Pelodiscus sinensis: one gene and its partner. The protein of the gene in region 2 purifies or fractionates together with the protein of the main gene of each other region. This does not show direct contact. Links are inferred from orthologs where the notes say so. Each region holds a gene or a part of one and is shown on either strand. Other genes may lie near its edges.

Evidence for each region.
Region 1: the proteins of RNGTT (region 2) and PPP4R3A purify together in Homo sapiens (affinity purification with mass spectrometry; 3 studies listed by BioGRID and IntAct, with this or other methods). This does not show direct contact. The link is inferred for Pelodiscus sinensis from reciprocal best matches to the Homo sapiens genes RNGTT and PPP4R3A.

What each region holds. Positions count from the first base shown.
Region 1 is NC_134714.1:31,305,174-31,313,434, forward strand, and holds the start of PPP4R3A (serine/threonine-protein phosphatase 4 regulatory subunit 3A), read left to right. Parts: upstream 1-4,854; 5' UTR 4,855-5,900; coding exon 5,901-6,042; intron 6,043-8,261. UniProt on the Homo sapiens protein: Regulatory subunit of serine/threonine-protein phosphatase 4. May regulate the activity of PPP4C at centrosomal microtubule organizing centers.
Region 2 is NC_134713.1:63,848,511-63,856,918, reverse strand, and holds the start of RNGTT (mRNA-capping enzyme), read left to right. Parts: upstream 1-5,170; 5' UTR 5,171-5,422; coding exon 5,423-5,486; intron 5,487-8,408.

The sequences.
Region 1 (8,261 bases), on a different chromosome or scaffold from region 2:
AGTGATTTACAACCCATCCTGGACAATGATCCCTCGCTTTCACAGGCCTTGGGAGGTAGGCCGGTCCTTGTCCACAGACAACCCACCAACCTGAAGCATATTCTCACCAGCAACTACACACCGCACCATAATAACTCGAACTCAGGAACCAATCCTTGCAACAAACCTCGGTGCCAACTCTGCCCACATATATACACCAGCAACACCATCACAGGACCTAACCAGATCAGCCATACTGTCACTAGTACGTTGTCCTGCACGTAATATGTGCCATCATATGCCAACAATGCCCCACTGCTCTATACATCAGCCAAACTGGACAGTCCCTACGTAAAAGAGTCAATGGACACAAATCTGATATTAGGAATGGCAACATACAAAAACCTGTAGGGGAACACTTCAATCTTCCTTGACACACAATTGCAGATCTAAAAGTAGCCATCCTACAGCAAAAAAACTTCAGGACCAGACTTCAAAGAGAAACTGCTGAGCTACAGTGATAGAGATGTAGCCGTGTTAGTCTGGGGTAGCTGAAGCAAAATGCAGGACAATGTAGCACTTTAAAGACTAACAAGATGGTTTATTAGATGATGAGCTTTCGTGGGCCAGACCCACTTCCTCAGATCAAATAGTGGAAGAAAGTAGTCACAACCATATATACCAAAGGATATAATTTAAAAAAATGAACACAAATGAAAAGGACAAATCAAATTTCAGAACAGAAGGGGAATGGGGGCGGGGAGAAGAAGGTAAATGTCTGTGAGCTAATGATATTAGAGGTGTGCTGCTGATCTGGAGGTATAAGTTGTTCTCAAACTGGAAATAATTGTGGGTGAGAACAAAGTTACATAGGTCTGCTATCAGATTGGCAGTGGTGTCCTCTGGGATAGTGTTTCTAATTGCTTGTAATCCGTCTTCATGTGGGATGTTGGTGTATAGAGCTTTTACGTCCATGATGGCAAGGATGGTGTTATCGGGGAGGTTATCGATGTTTTGTAGTTTAGTAAGTCAGTAGTATCTCAGAGATAGCTGGGGGCGGTGGTTGCGTAGAGCTTGAGAAGAGAATGTCTAGCCAACTACAAAAGCAGTTTCTCCTCTCTTAGGGTATGTCTACACTACAAAGTTAGTTCGAACTAACGGACATTAGTTCGAACTAACATTCATAGGCGATACACTAGCGCTCCGCTAGTTCGAATTTAAATCGAACTAGCAGAGCGCTTAGTTCGAACTAGGAAAACCTCATTTTACGAGGATTAAGCCTAGTTCGAACTTACTAGTTCGAATTAAGGGGTGTGTAGCCCCTTAATTCGAACTAGTGGGAGGCTAGCCCTCCCCAGCTTTCCCTGGTGGCCACTCTGGCCAACACCAGGGAAACTCGTCTGCCCCCCTCCCGGCCCCGGACCCCTTAAAGGGCACGGGCTGGCTATGGTGCCCGTGCCAGGTGCAAGCCTGCCAGCACCCAGCCAGCAGACCCTGCACCTGACACGGCACAGAGCCACCCACCCGATGTCCCCCAGCCCACCCCCTCTTCCCGGGACCAGGCTGGTGGCTCCCGGGAGCTTGCCCATGACCGCAAGAGGCGGGCACCTTCCTGGGCTAGTGCAGACATCGTGGACCTCATCCACGATCTCCGCACTAGGCACAGGAAAGTGGCCGGCTAGGGCAGGAGAGCTGCCAGCCTGGCCACCCAGGAGCAGGTGTGCATGAAAATCAAGGTGGTCCACTGAGACCCCCGACCCTGAGCCCTGAGCTTACGATGGCCGTACTGGGTCAGACCAAAGGTCCATCTAGCCCAGTAGCCTGTCTGCCGACAGCGGCCAACACTAGGGACCCTGGAGGGGATGGACCGAAGACAGTGACCAAGCCATTTGTCTCGTGCCATCCCTCTCAAGCCTTCCACAAACTTTGGGAAGGGACACCACTCCTACCCCCTGGCTAAGACTACTCCATGGACCCAACCTCCATGACTTGATCTCACTTCCCTTTAAACTCTGTTCTAGTTGTAGCCTTCACAGCCTCCTGCAGCAAGGAGTTCCACAGGTTAACTATTTGCTTTGTCAAGAACAACAACTTTCTCATACTAGTTTGAAGCCTGCTACCCATTCCTTTCCTTTGATGTCCTCTAGTCCTTCTTTATGGGAACTCAGGAAGAACTTTTCTGAATGCACCCTCTCCACCCAACCCCTGCTTTTAGAGACCTCTATCCTGTCCCCCCTCCATCTCCTCTTTTCTAAGCTGAACAGTCCCAGTCTCTGTAGCCTCTCTTCATCTGGGACCTGTTCCCAACCCCTGATCATGTTAGTTGCCCTCCCCTCTCCCAGCCTTTCTCTTCCCCTCTCCCACCTCCTTTTCCCAGTCTCCCCCAGTTTTGTTCAATAAAGACAGAGTCAATGTTGGAAGAAACATTATCTTTATTTTGTACATCAGGAAGGGGGGCTAGGGAAGGGTAAGTGGAAGGAGGTGAGGGAGGAATGGGGTACGAGCCCCCGATGGGGAGGACTGGGCTGGCTCTGCGGGCTTCTGGGGGTGGAAGCTCTCCTGCAGCCCCCCAATTGCTCCCTCTCCCCAGATGGCAGCCTGCGGCAAGTGCAGCCGGTCTGATGGCCGAGTGCTGTGATGTGCCCAGTGTGGGCACTCCGGGCACTCCAAGCCAGGACTGGTTTTCAAGCGGGGATCTCCTGAGAACTGTCTGTCCGGTGTGGGGGTCGGGTCCTTTTAAGCGCAGCCCTCGGCTAGCCTGAGACAGCATCTCCACGCCTCTGATGCCCTGCTGGCACTGTTCAGGGTCCACTCAATGTGGACATGCTAGTTCGAATTAGCAAAACACTAATTCGAACTAGTTTTTAGTTCTAGACGCGTTAGTTCGAATTAGCTTAGTTCGAATTAACTAATTCGAATTAAGTTAGTTCGAACTAACTCTGTAGTGTAGACATACCCTTAGTGTTTACACCTCCAAATCAGCTGCCAGAAGTGGGTCTCATCCTGCCTGACTGAATTTACCTTGTTATCTCTAGCCTTACTCTTGATTGGTACTCTTTTCTTATGCTTGTATATTTATACCTGCCTCTGGAATTTCCACTACATGCATCTGATGATGTGGGTCTTTGCCCACGAAAGCTTATGCGCCGTCTCCAGCTTTCTCGCCCCGGAGCTCACAGGCAGCGATCAACCACCTCTACCTCCGGGGCGAGAAAAGCTGCTCCCGGTGCCCCTGGTCTGCTGGAGACCGTCTCCAGCAGACCAGGGGCACCGTGAGTGAAGCCGCAGCAGCGGCGGGTTCCCGCGCTTCTGAGGCTTTGCCAGCGCTGCCTGTGAGCTCTGGGGCGAGAAAGCCCCGTTCGTAAGTGCGGATCCGACGTAAGTTGGGGACTGCCTGTATTGCCACCCTAGCTTCTAGGCTGTTGCATGCAAAGCTTGGTCTCAGTCAACAGCTACCACTCTCTGCCCAGCTCTGAAGGCCACAGTGTGGAAGGGTGGCAAAACATACCATACCAAGCCACCCTTACTTATGGGCTGCTGCTGGTGAGCTGCTGCTTTCGGAGCTGGGTGCCCAGCCCATAACAGGCACTTTCCTGCCTCCCAGTTCTCATAGCAGTGCAGAAGTAATTGCAGCAATACTCCCCAACTCACCACCCCCCAAAAAACCCTTGTGATACCCTGCAGCTCCCTTTTGGGTCAGGACCCCCGATTTGAGATATGCTGGTCTCCCACCTCTGAAATCTGTATAGTAGAGGGTAAAAGCACAAAAAAAGAGACCAGTTTTCAGCAAGGGAGACCAGATTTCATGGTCCATGATATATTTTTTATGGCTGTGAAGTTATTAGGACCTTAAATATAAGTTGTGAAATATTATTTGTAATGGTGTTTTGGCCCTCCTGCCTACTGTTCTTGTGGGATGCCAAAGGGCGCCACCCTTCAGCTCAAGGGTGAACTAGGGTTGCCACGTGTCCGGTTTTGAACCAGTATTTGAGCTTTCTGTCCAGGAAATAAATTAGGAAAATACCGGACATATAAATGTCTGGTATTTTCTAATTAAGTAAGTTTTATTATTATCATGAGTATCAGTTCGTAGTTGCATACTGCATGAGTATCAGTACTGTGTGAGCGTGTCTACCAACCAGGCAGTACGCAACTACACAGTAGAGAGGAGGGGGACAGGGCTGGAGCAGGATGGAATCCCAGGGGCCGGACTCGCCCATGTGCCCCACTGGGACAGTGCGCAGGACGGGCAGGACCCTGGGATCTGCGTGTGCCTGGGCCAGCCCCACTCCCTGCTGGCCGGTTCCCCCCAGGCCAGCCCTGCTCCCTCCAGTGTGAACTCAAATGTAGGGTATAGCTACTGCTCTCACACACCAATTGAAGGCACTATGAAGGGTGTGGATGGTGCCCTATTGCCCTGCAGGACTGCCCCAAAAGGTGTGGGGGTGGTGTGCAGTGATGGGCCTGCTGAGCAATGAGGTTTTGCTCTGGCACCCCAGGGTGCGGTGGGCTACTGTTCTTTTACACTGCATGATCATTGGGGTGCTACGCCCGTAGGGTTCTGCCTCCCAGCGTGCTGAGGGGTGCCGTGAGGTCTTGGGTGGGGTGCTGCCCTTGCCCCCCAGGCTGCAAGTGGTCACGTGGGGGTGCTGTGGGGTCCTAGGTAGGTCACTCCGTGGGGTGCACACAGTGTGTGACTGAGGAGATTGGGTGACAGGCACGCGCTGCTCCCCGGGAGTGACTAGCGGGTAGCCCCCCCCCCCCATCCGCTGTCTCCCACTCCCCCCCCCCCATAGTCCCATCCCTTCTCAGAGCCTGTGTCTGCTGTTGGCCCTTTAAATGCCAGATGGCGGCCCGTGCCGCCGCTGGCTGGGAGACCCCGCGCCTCTAGTGAGAGGTGAAACCAAGATGGCGGTCGCGCAGTGACTGAGGCGGAGACGGAGCCAGTGGGACACAGTCGGGCCTCGCCGCGCCTCAGCCAGGCCGCCAGCCAGCCCGGCCGGGGAGGGACCGCGCGTGCCGGCGCCCGCAGCGGAGCGGGCCGGCCTAACCGAGCGGGCCGAGGAGCCGGGGCTGAGCCGCAGCAGTAGCGGGAGCAGAAGGAAGAAGAATATGGCGGCGGAGCCGGGCTGGGAGTGAAGCTGCCGCCTGCGAGGGGAGCCCATGGGGGAGACTGGACGCTGAGCCCGGCCGCCTTCGCATCGCTCCCGGGACAGGCAGCGCCCGCTGGCCGCCCACGAGCCGCTCCTGAGGAAGGAGGGGCCGCGCCGCCTCTGCCCCTCTATTGACAAACTGCGAGGGGGCGTCGGGCCTGGGCAGCGCCCGCACAATAGAGCCGAGCGCCGGGCAGGGGGCGAACTGACCTCGCTCCCTCCCTCTGCCGCCGATCTGCCACCACCCTAGTCACCTCTGTTGATCTCGCTTCTTCCTGCCCCCTTTCCGTCCAGCGCACTGCCCTCTCGAGTCACCCCTCTCCTGCTGCCCCATCCCCAGCCACCCCTTCCCTCTGCTTTCCCCCACCCGCTTCATCTCCCTAGCCATCTTTCTCTGCCATCCTCTTTTACCTCATTCACCAGCTCTCCTCTGATATTTCTGTTCCCTCCCCACACTTGCCCTGTGGCCCGTTGCTTTACACCTGGCAATCGCCAGGCTTCCCCTCCTGAATAGCACCTCCTGGTCCTCTGTAACTGCTTCCCACCTACCACCCCCTTCCCCAGCACTCTGCCCTGCCTCCAAATAGTGAGCATGAGGAGGAGACTGCCCCAGCAGTGAAGAATAAGGAGCGATCCCGGGGTGTCTTTTTGGGACTGCTACTCTCTTTTCTGCGCCTCTCCTTTGAGGGGGGCCTAGCCCCCCACCAACCTCCTGTTCCTTTAGGTGTCACAGGCCAGGGTGGTGGCTGTGGTGTGACAGGCGGCAGGATGACCGACACCCGGCGGAGAGTGAAAGTTTACACGCTGAATGAAGACCGCCAGTGGGATGATCGAGGCACTGGACATGTGTCCTCTGGCTACGTGGAAAGGCTGAAGGGCATGTCCCTGCTTGTCAGGGCAGAGAGCGATGGTAAGTGGTGTGAGAACATGGCAAGTATTGTAATCTTTTTCCAATCCACCTACAAAAAAAGATAATGGCTTTATATATCTGCTTTGTGATTTTATCTGCATAATTTGTATGTGATTCTGAAATCGGGCAGTCAGCAGCTATCGTTAACTCTTGTTAGGCTATATGACAAGGTTGGAAGATTAAGACAACACACTCCCACTCCTCAGGTACACACTTGATGCATATTGGACACACTGACATAAAGCTGTATACCACATACAGGTAGTACACATTTCACACACTATATTGCACACCACTATCCCATTTCTCCCCCTCCCCAAGATTTTTTTTCCCTAAACACTAATTGGGATCTCTTGTTGAAATAATTGATAATCCCAAGATTAAAGAAACTATTCACAGTTTGGATTAAATGTGTTGAACATAAAATATTAAAATTATTTCATTGTTGTTTCTTGTCTATTCAGCTTTCTGTAGGTGGGTTGCAAATATATTTTTCACTCTTTAGAAGTGTATTAAAGAGTATTTTATAATGTGTAGATAGATACTCGCAGTTTTGATTTCAAGACAATACAAAGAACAAAACAACATTTTGAGGATATTTTTAAGCAGCTACTGTATTCTGCGCTCATGCTAAAACTGCCCTTAGAATTACCCCTGAAATAATAAATTCACTTAAAATAAAGCATATCACCTGTTTTTCTCTCACTCCAAGCATGTTTTGCTACATTTTGATAGGTTTGTGTATGAACTATCCTTGATTACTTGATCAGTGAGTTAATGATTACTGTAGATTAAACTTTGAAGTATAGCTGGCTTCATTTAACTCTGGTACCATGAATGTAGTCTGTCCTATCTCATTTAACCATATAGTTATGTACTGGGTGATGTTTTTCTGCCATTAGCTACTTCCTGGCTTTCTATCTTACATCTGGGGAGGGTGGGTCATTCTTGTAGATTGCTGTTTATATTTGATTGCTATCTCCCCTATGTTTATTTGGTTTTCCTTGTGCTGAAACTGAAGGATAGAAAACTTCATTGAGGTCAGTTACTTAGTCCAGTCATTGTAGAAGAGGAAGTGCATGTTTTCAGGAGTTATCAGGAAATCCTAAATTGATACAGTAAGAATCAAATGTAGTAAGTTGATTATCCAAAGCATGTTTAAATGCTAATTATATTGACTTAAGTCTTTTAAATTGCTAAATTATTATTAATAAATTATGAAAACTAACTATATAATTGATTTTTTACAAAGAAGTTGGAGACCTGTTCTCCCCATTCTCTTCTGCATGTCTTATTTCTTAGGTTAGATAAACTCGAGATGGCAGTGGACCTTTATTATTAAATTTAAGGGTGGTGGGGAGCCCAGTGAGAAGGAGGAACATCACCATTATAAACAGGTTTATGTTACAGTGGTATAATTCTAGCACTCACCATCACCACTGTAGCTTTCAGGAGCTAAATAAATTAATAAACTTCAACTGAAACTTCAAATGAAAGAACGATGTTAAAACACCAAATGCAGTAGTAGTAGTGTTTTAAAAATACAATGATCTAGATAGAATTTTTGAGCATAAAATGCTGCAGGTTGTAATCTGACTGTGAAGAAGCAGTCTGTTCAAAGGACACAGTCTTCCACTGGTTTCAGTTACATTTGCATATACAGATTTATTTCAGTAGTTTCATTGCTGTAAATGAGCTTGTATAAATCTATTAAAGAAAATGGAAGTATGAAGTATTGTAAGTGTTACTTTAATGTGTATCTAGGAGTTACTGAATTTTAAAGATTAGTTATCCATAACTTTAAAAAGCAAACCAGCATTTTTAAAAATGAATAACTGAATTAACATACAATAATTCCTATAGCTTTCATAAATCTTATACCATGTACAGTTTATACAATTATTAGTTAACAATCCTTTTAGAAACTTAGATGTTTTGATCACTGGGGCTAATATATTAATCCTTTGAGGCAAACATGCCTTTTGGTAATTGTTTTTCTTATTCTTGTCACTATTTTATCGGGTTAATATTCAGTTTTTTCGGTCAGAAGTCAGCGGCTAGGATAGTTCAAATTTACATGTAATGATTTTTTTTTTAATTTGGGGTACTAGAGTATTAAATGTTTGTAAGTGTGAACAGTTATTTCATACCCAAATCAAAAGTAGCAACAGATTGTTATACGTCAGATGTCTTTTATAGCGCTCAAGTCCCTTGTTCCT
Region 2 (8,408 bases):
AGTTGCAGAGCACCTCCCTATCTACCATTCTCCTCCTGGTATTATAGATGACCACTTTGGGTAGCAACAGATGGTGGTTGACAAGGAGATCTCAAAACTTCTTGGGGCCACGGACCAGTTGCGCATACATGAAAAGGTATGGGGAGAAGAGCTGCCAAAACCTTAACAGGAGATTTTGAAAGGGCTGGAAAAGGGGCTGCAACCTGTGCATTCCAGGTAAGTATAGGGAAAGATCTCCCTCACACTGTAAAATGGACTGGCATTGGTAGGGATGTAAGTGAAGCACACCAGGCACACGACTGTGCTCACATCTGCAGGGAGCTGCCAACTGACATCCCCTGTGGCTGTGGGACCAAGATAGAGTATAGGCTGGCCCACTAGGGTACCTCATCCTTCACATGTAGTAAAAGGTCCTGCCACTTTGTATTGGGGTGGGACATGAGGAAGAGGGAAATGAAATGTTTGTAGCATGAGCATATAGAATTGTTTGCTAGGCATGGTTCAGAAGCAAACTGACTGCAGGGCATGCAGTCAATTTGGATTGTTGAAAGGAGGGAGACTGGGGAGCTTGCAGGGCAAAGGCCCAATGTAAAAGTCTGATGGGCCAGATGTCTGGAGTAGGTGGGGCACCTTCTCATAGAACCTGCTAAAAAAATCTGAGAGTTGCATGATCAGGCTTCCTCCATCTCCTATGTAGAGGGAGGTCTGAAGAGTGGAGAGCCTATGTGCCAAGGGATACACCCAGGCTGTGTCTAGACTGGCAAGTTTTTCTGCAAAAGCAGCTGCTTTTGTGGAAAAACTTGCCAGCTGTCTACACTGGCCGCTTGAATTTCCGCAAGAACACTGACGATCTCATGTAAGAAATCAGTGCTTGCGGAAATACTATGCTGCTCCCGTTCAGACAAAAGTCCTTTTATGCATAAGCTTTTGCGCAAAAGGGCCAGTGTAGACAGCTCAGATTTATTTTGCGCAAAAAAGTCCCGATCGCGAAAATAGCAATCAGGGCTTTCTTGTGCAAAACCGCATCTAGATTGGCACGGACACTTTTCCACAAAAAGTGCTTTTGCGGAAAAGCGTCCACGCCAATCTAGACGCTCTTTTCCTCAAATGCTTTTAACGGAAAACTTTTCTGTTAAAAGCATTTGCGGAAAATCATGCCAGTCTAGACGTAGCTCCAGTCCCTCTATTCGTAATCCAGGAAGTCTCCAAGTCTAGTGGTTTCTGCCAGGACCAGCCTCTAGCACACTTAGGCAGTCTATGCCACCCACACAGTAAAAAGGGGGTCGTGTAGCTGGGACTCCAAATTTAGCTGAGAGCCTGGACTGAAGCAGAGCTGAGGGCAGGATATGGCTGGGTGGCAATCTCTCCCTGCCTTCCTGGGGGCTGGCCCAGATCCCACTGTGGCTACGTCTACACTGGCCCCTTTTCCGGAAGGGGCATGTAAATTTCACTAGTCGTCGTAGGGAAATCCGCGGGGGATTTAAATATCCCCCGCGGCATTTAAATAAAAATGTCCGCCGCTTTTTTCCGGCTTTTAAAAAAGCCGGAAAAGAGCGTCTAGACTGGCCCCGATCCTCCGGAAAAAGTGCCCTTTTCCGGAGGCTCTTATTCCTACTTCAAAGGAATAAGAGCCTCCGGAAAAGGGCACTTTTTCCGGAGGATCGGGGCCAGTCTAGACGCTCTTTTCCGGCTTTTTTAAAAGCCGGAAAAAAGCGGCGGACATTTTTATTTAAATGCCGCGGGGGATATTTAAATCCCCCGCGGATTTCCCTACGACGACTGCTGAAATTTACATGCCCCTTCCGGAAAAGGGGCCAGTGTAGACGTAGCCTGTGTGTCCCAAATGTTCCTCCTGGTATTATAGATGCCCTGGGGTGGAGGTGCACCCAACAGTTTGGGGCTCTCTGATTTAAGGAAATATTATTTCATAGAGTTGTGAATAAATGGATTGACTTCTTACTGATGTGATGGAGTTCATCACATTAAAGTACTGATTAAAAATTCTTTGGGACAGCAACTATCCTTTTAATATATGTATGCCCATTGCCTTGCATAATGAGGCTCCAATCCCAAACTAATTATTAAATAATGTAATCATTAATTTGAGCAAAAATAGATAACTATGGAATTTATCAAATTCTATATAGGATTTTATTAAATGCCAATTATTAGTGTTTCTGAACCAGATAGGTAAGTTAAAGAGGTGGGAGTAATCAGTTTCTAAGGTGGGTCCTGATCCTGAACAAGGGTTCTAGATTCTATCATAATATAACAAAATAACAATTTTGTCTTATTATTTCTTAATTTGTTAGTCATACATTTTTGTTTTTTAAATTTTAAAATTATATGTAGTAGCATAGAGACAGATGTCATATTATCATCACAGTTCCAGGCACAAAGAGAGCATAACCTGTTTGTACTAGGGAAGTTAAATTTAGATTTATTGGCTAATCGAACAGTTGATGCAATTTGCATCAACTATTCAATGAGTTGATAAGGGCACCCTGCTGTTGAAGTGTAGCAACAGCCCCTGAGTTGTTGCTACACTCCAACGGTGAAAGTGCTGCAGAGAACATGGGACTAGTGGGGGACTCAAGCAATATCCCGCTAGCCCTCCGCTCCCCATGGTGTTTCAAAGTGGCAGCACCACATGGAGCCCAGGGTCTGGCCCCAGGCTCTATGCGGCACTGCCACTTTGAAGCACTCCCTTTTCTTCCCTACACCTTGCTGCCTTTTTTTGATAGAAGCAGCAAGGGAAGGGGGAAGAGACTAGTGGACTAGTGTGTCAACTATCCGATAAGCATTTGCTTATGGGACAGTCGATTAGTCGGTCACATCCCTAGTTTGTACTACACTATGTTGCAGCAGTGTATGTAATTTTGGACCTATTTCTGTCACCCTTGCTCAGTTTACTCTGTGAATAATCTTGCTGAAATCAGAATCTGGCATTCTGTGATTGTTTTTTTGCTTCTTTTCTCATCTTGATTAGGACTTCGTGCACTCAGATTTCATTTTTTTCCACGTGGTCTTTTGGCACCATCTAGTGTCTGCCTGTTGCACATTCAGCTTAGGAACAAATGGAATTTTAGTTTCAGTACAGTATAGAAAATAGTGCATATGTGCTGAAAAGTTTCAGAAAATAAATGAAATGTTACCTCCAAATGAATGGTTGAACCTGGTAATAGTGTATTAAGTTTAACCAAGCTATGTGTGTTGGTATCTAGCCAATAATCTTAGAATATTCAATCAGAAAATAAACCAGCAAAAATGTAATTAGCTGTTTTAATTGAAACTGCTTATTTCCCGGTGTCCAAATATTGATACAGGGTGTCATCTGCAACTTGGACCTCTCTGTAATTTCTCACTTGCAGGGCTATATGTAAAAAATCTTGCCAATTCTTTCTTTGTAACATCTAAGGCAGTGGTCCCCAACGTGGTGCCTGCGGGTGCTATGGCGCCCGCCGGGGCGTTTATGTGCACCTGCCAAGTGACCAGGGCCGACCCAAGCCATTCTTACGCCCTGGGCCTGAGTGCTCGGCACATGCGTGGCCCCCCTCCTTCCCGGGGCACGCGGTGCATGAGTGGCTCCGCCCCTGCCCGCGCGGTGCATGCGCGGCCCCGCCACCGGCCGCACAGCATATGGGCAGACCCGCCCCTGGCCGTATGGCCCATGTGTGGCCCACCCCAGACATGGCCCCGGCTGCGTGGCTTGTGCGCAGCCCCACCCCTGGCCGTGCCGCACATGTGCGGCCCTGCCCCCGGGCGCCCAGCAGCCCCAAAATGTTGGAGACCACTGATCTAAGATATGACATTTTTATTCATTTGTACAGCTAAAACTCTCATTCAAGCTCTCATAATTTATTACCCCCGGTTAATACAATATCATTCTCTTTGGCCTTGACAAATGCAGTCTTGCCCTGTGCATATCCATTCAGAATGTTGGTACAAAGATGACTTTCTTAGCTCATTGTTTTGACCTTGTCACCCCTCTTTTTGAATGTCTCCACAGGCATTTTCTTCTCTCACACACATCAAAGGTAAACTGCTTGTATTCACTTTCTCAAGTTATTGCTTTTATCTTATCACTTCTCTTTGTGAATCCAAAATGCTTGTGTATACTTTGAAATCCCTTCACAGTCAATCAATCCCTCTTCCTATCAAACTCTACTTGCTTGCAGCCAACTGGCCAATTAGGCCAGCCTCCACTTTCCACCTGTTTTCTCTCATCAGTCCCAGGTACTTTAGGGACACTCTCCATCACTCTTTACAAAGCTATCTCATTATCCACCTCCAAATTCCTCCTCAAAACTCCCCTTTGCCATGCTTCTTAAAAAAGAAAAGAAAACCTTGACAAATGATTTGGCTGTTCTTGGATTGAGACCACTATCATGTTGACCATTGTTGGCTTGTGCTCCCGCTGGTCTGTTGATAGCCATCTGATGTCTTATCTTGTACTTGGATTGTAAACTCTTTGGGGCAGAGACCATCTTTTTATCTTGTTTGTTCAACACCCAGTGCAACACGGTTCAAGGCCATGGTGAGGCTCTTCGGTGCTATGGTGCTACAAATAATACATAATAATTTAGTTGCCAGTCTTGCTTTGGCTCCTATGCAGCCAAATTGACTTTCATAGGATGTGGTGGATACAGAAGCTCCTCCATACATGAATCTGAAGGAAGGACTAAGGTCACAGCTTATGAGAGAGTGTGTGTGTGTGTGTTTTTCAGAGTGACAAGATGAGCTCACATTGGAGCCGTTTTCTTGTATAGCCTGGCGACTAGTACCTCTCGCCCAAAGATAAAAGCATCCCAAGTTTTCACACTTATTGTCCAGTCACTCTAGTTTTTTCCCCTCCTCGCTAAAGTGCTGTTCAATTATTTCCTTGTACCCTCCCCCCCTTGTTCTAGTAGCCGCAGGAGTCCCAGGCACGGCCCAGGCTGCTTTGTGCGAGCGCCCGCCACCCAGGCGCTCATGGAACCATAGCGCTGGAAGAGACCCCAGGGGTCATGAAGTCCTGCCCCCGGCCGCGCGGCGCTTCCAAGCTAAGTGCGGGGCAGCAGGTGGGCGCGGGGGTTTGGTCCCCGGGCTCCCTCCTCACCCTCCCCACGCGGGCGGCGACTGGGTTTCCCGTCCAAACCCGGACTCCCGAGCCAGGCCCGGGGGGGGGGGGCTGACGTTAAACGTCGTCGCCCAAGCAACGTCTCTCCGCCGTTCGGCCCTGGCGAGCAGAGAGCCCCGGAAGCGGAAGTGGCGCTTCCGCGTCGCGGTGCATTGTGGGGAGAGGCGGTTGCTGTGGAGTTGGGTCTGAATGAAGCTGCCGCGGGGAAGGGGCTGCCGGAGCCGCTGACTGGGGAGGAGCCGCGTCCGCAGCCGCCCGGCCCGGCGTTAGCGCGAGCCCTGCTGGGCAGCAGGAGGCGCCGCCATGTCCTACAACAAGATCCCGCCGCGCTGGCTGCGCTGCCCCAGGAGGGGGCAGCCGGTGGCAGGTGAGCGGGGCCGGGGTGCTCGGCGCGGGGCGGCCGCCGCTTCCTCGCTCCTCTTCCAGCCGCCGCCGCTGGCGGGGCCATTGGCCGAGGGGAGGCACCGCGCCGCGTCCGGGTATCGCGTCTGGCTTGGCGCTGGGGGGAAGCGCTGAGGAGTCCTATCCCCAGCTCCGTCGGCGAACCGGACCGCTTGCTTGCAGCGGGGGGACAGCGGGCTCCCTAGGGCAGGGTGTGGGGAGGGGAGTTACAGGCACCGCCTGTCTCTTGGGACTGGGGCGCCTCTCTCTTTGCTAAGTGGCGTCTCGCTGCTTTTTCCCTTTTCAAGCTGGTTTAATGCCTCAGTTCTCTTTAGGGATGAAACAGGATAACCGTTTACATCAGGGGTTCCTAACCTTTTTCGGTCCCCGTACCCGCTTGGCTTTTAGTAAACCTTCCAGTACCCCCTAGTCAATATGAAAGGAAATAAATTCTAGTCTCTAGAATCTGCAAATTTTTTCACTAACACTGCTACTTCTGGAATATTTCCATTAGGATAAATTAGTTATTTACCAAATAGTCCCCGTACCCTCTTGACAAGCTTGTCATATCCCCTAGGGGTACGCATAACCCAGGTTGGGAACCCCTGGTTTACATGATTACCTGATAAACCCACCATGAATGATTACACATGGGATCCTGCCCTGCTTGCGGGGAGTCAGCTATGGGCTCTGTATCACAGCCTGCAATGCGAGGTGGCAGCTGGTACATGTTGGGAACCAATTTAAAAGCTGGCTCCCAGTGCACGTTGGCTCCTGGGATGCTGGTTGCTGCCTGTGTATCAGAGGTATGTGCTGCTGCCTTTGGGTGCATCTACACAGCAGGGCTTAACTCGACATAAGCTATGCAAATTGAGCTACATCAATTGCGTATCTTATTTCGAAATAGGGAGCATCTACCCTGCTCTTATTTCATAATGGAGTACTTACTCTTCCTCTGACTTCCCTTATTCCTCGTGCAATGAGGATTACAGGAGTCGCAGTAAGAAGTTCTCCAGCTTGACGGTATTTTGACACTATTTTGAAATAACTGCCTGCTGTGTAGACACGGACTAAGTTATTTTGGAATAGCACTAGTTATTTCAAAATAGTGTTGCAGTGTAGACGTACTCTTTGTATTAGAGGCATGGTTACAGTGGCTGTGCTCCCAGTCCTGCATTCAGCCTGCCAACTCTTGGTAAACAGGTCCTTCCCCCAGCCATGGGGATTGGAGCTGGTGGTACCCTGGTACCTCACTGTGATTCAACTATGTTGGTGCTGTGTGCTGTCACTTGTGAGTCCTCAGGAGCAGCACACAATGTGATGCCCTTTCCTCCTCTGCCACCCATCTTCCTTGAGATCCTGACCAATGTTCCCTCTAATCTTTATGCTCCATGTGCAGATTTTTTCCATCCGTGTGTGGAATAATTTTTTTTATGTACACCAATGTATATGTGAAAATGCATTAGAAATCGTACTCTGTACCCGTGTACATGGTTAACTGGTAAACCTAGGTTCATTGGTTAACCCTCACAGTTACACACAGAGTCAGCTGGCGGTGAGGAGGTGGGAGCCGGTGTCCATGGGGAGCTGCCTTTTAAACCGGCTCCCCTCATGTGCCAGCTCCCGCAGAGCATGTCTCCCCCCTCCACCCATACTGCTGCCTCCCACAGAGGAAATAGTGGGCAGGGAGGAAGGTGGGAGCTGGTGCTTATGGGGAGCCAGCTTTTAAGCTGGGTCCTTGAGCAAGCCAGCTCCTGCACAGTTGCCTGTCCCCCTGTGCTTCTGCTTCTGGTATGGAGGTAGCAGCATGACAGGTGTGTGTGTGCAGAGCAGACGGGAGCCAGTGTTTGTGGGGAGCAATCTTAAAAGCCGGAATCCCAAGAGCACTGGCTCCTATCTGCTCCCCTGCATGTAAACGTGTAACTGCTGTTTACGAAAATAAACTTATTTTAAAATTCCTAATGTGCATCACCAATAGAAACACCAAAACTAACTGGGAGCTCTGCTAATGAGCTGGGCAGCATTTGAATTTCTCTGGAGTGGCCACACAAGCACATAGGTGACAGGGAACACGGACCCTGACACCACACTACCATTTATCTCCAGTTCCAACCCTCATGCTACATATTCTGTGCTATCTCTTGCCTGAAAGATCATTCCCCTCTCCCCCTTCCACTTCCCCAGTTGTTAGTCTTTGTGAGATGGCTTGATGGTGTAGATGCAGATAGAGATAAAAGATGACTAGCAGATTGTGGGTTGATCTTGGTGGATGCAGATCTACATTTTTGTATTCTTCTAGGTTCTAATTCATCTTAAATCCATGCCTAACTTTAAATCTGTCAGTAGTCTAATTAATTGATCCTTTGGTTTCAAAGTAGTCACGTACATTAACTTTGGTGAGTTGAGGTTATGTTTCATTCCTTCCTTCAATTATATTTACATTTGCAAGTCTCAGCCACTTTTTCTGTTTGTCAACTGCCTTTTTTTGAAGTCTTTCTGTGATTCTTTCTTTACTTTATTATGTTTAGCATGAGATCCAGGGATGTGCTATGTACCACAGTAGTTCTCAACCTGTTCACCACTGAGAGTTGCTGTGCAGCATTCTATGCATAACATGGGCCAAATCTGCACAATATATACAGACTGAATCTCTGTGGAATGTGACTGACTGGTCCGGCAACATCTGTTGCTGGACGATACAGCCCCTGGACCAGAGAGCCAGTGGGGAGGCTGGGACACTGGTGAGTGGCGGACACAGCGGTCGGATCCCAGTCTGCAGCTAGAGTGCTGGTTGCAGAGCTGGATCTGGAGCCAGCTGCCTGACTGGAAAACTGGGATTAGCAGTCGACCTGTGGCCGCAGGCAGCAAGCCTGGCTAGGGCCTGCAATGCAGCTGGGTAGGTGGACAC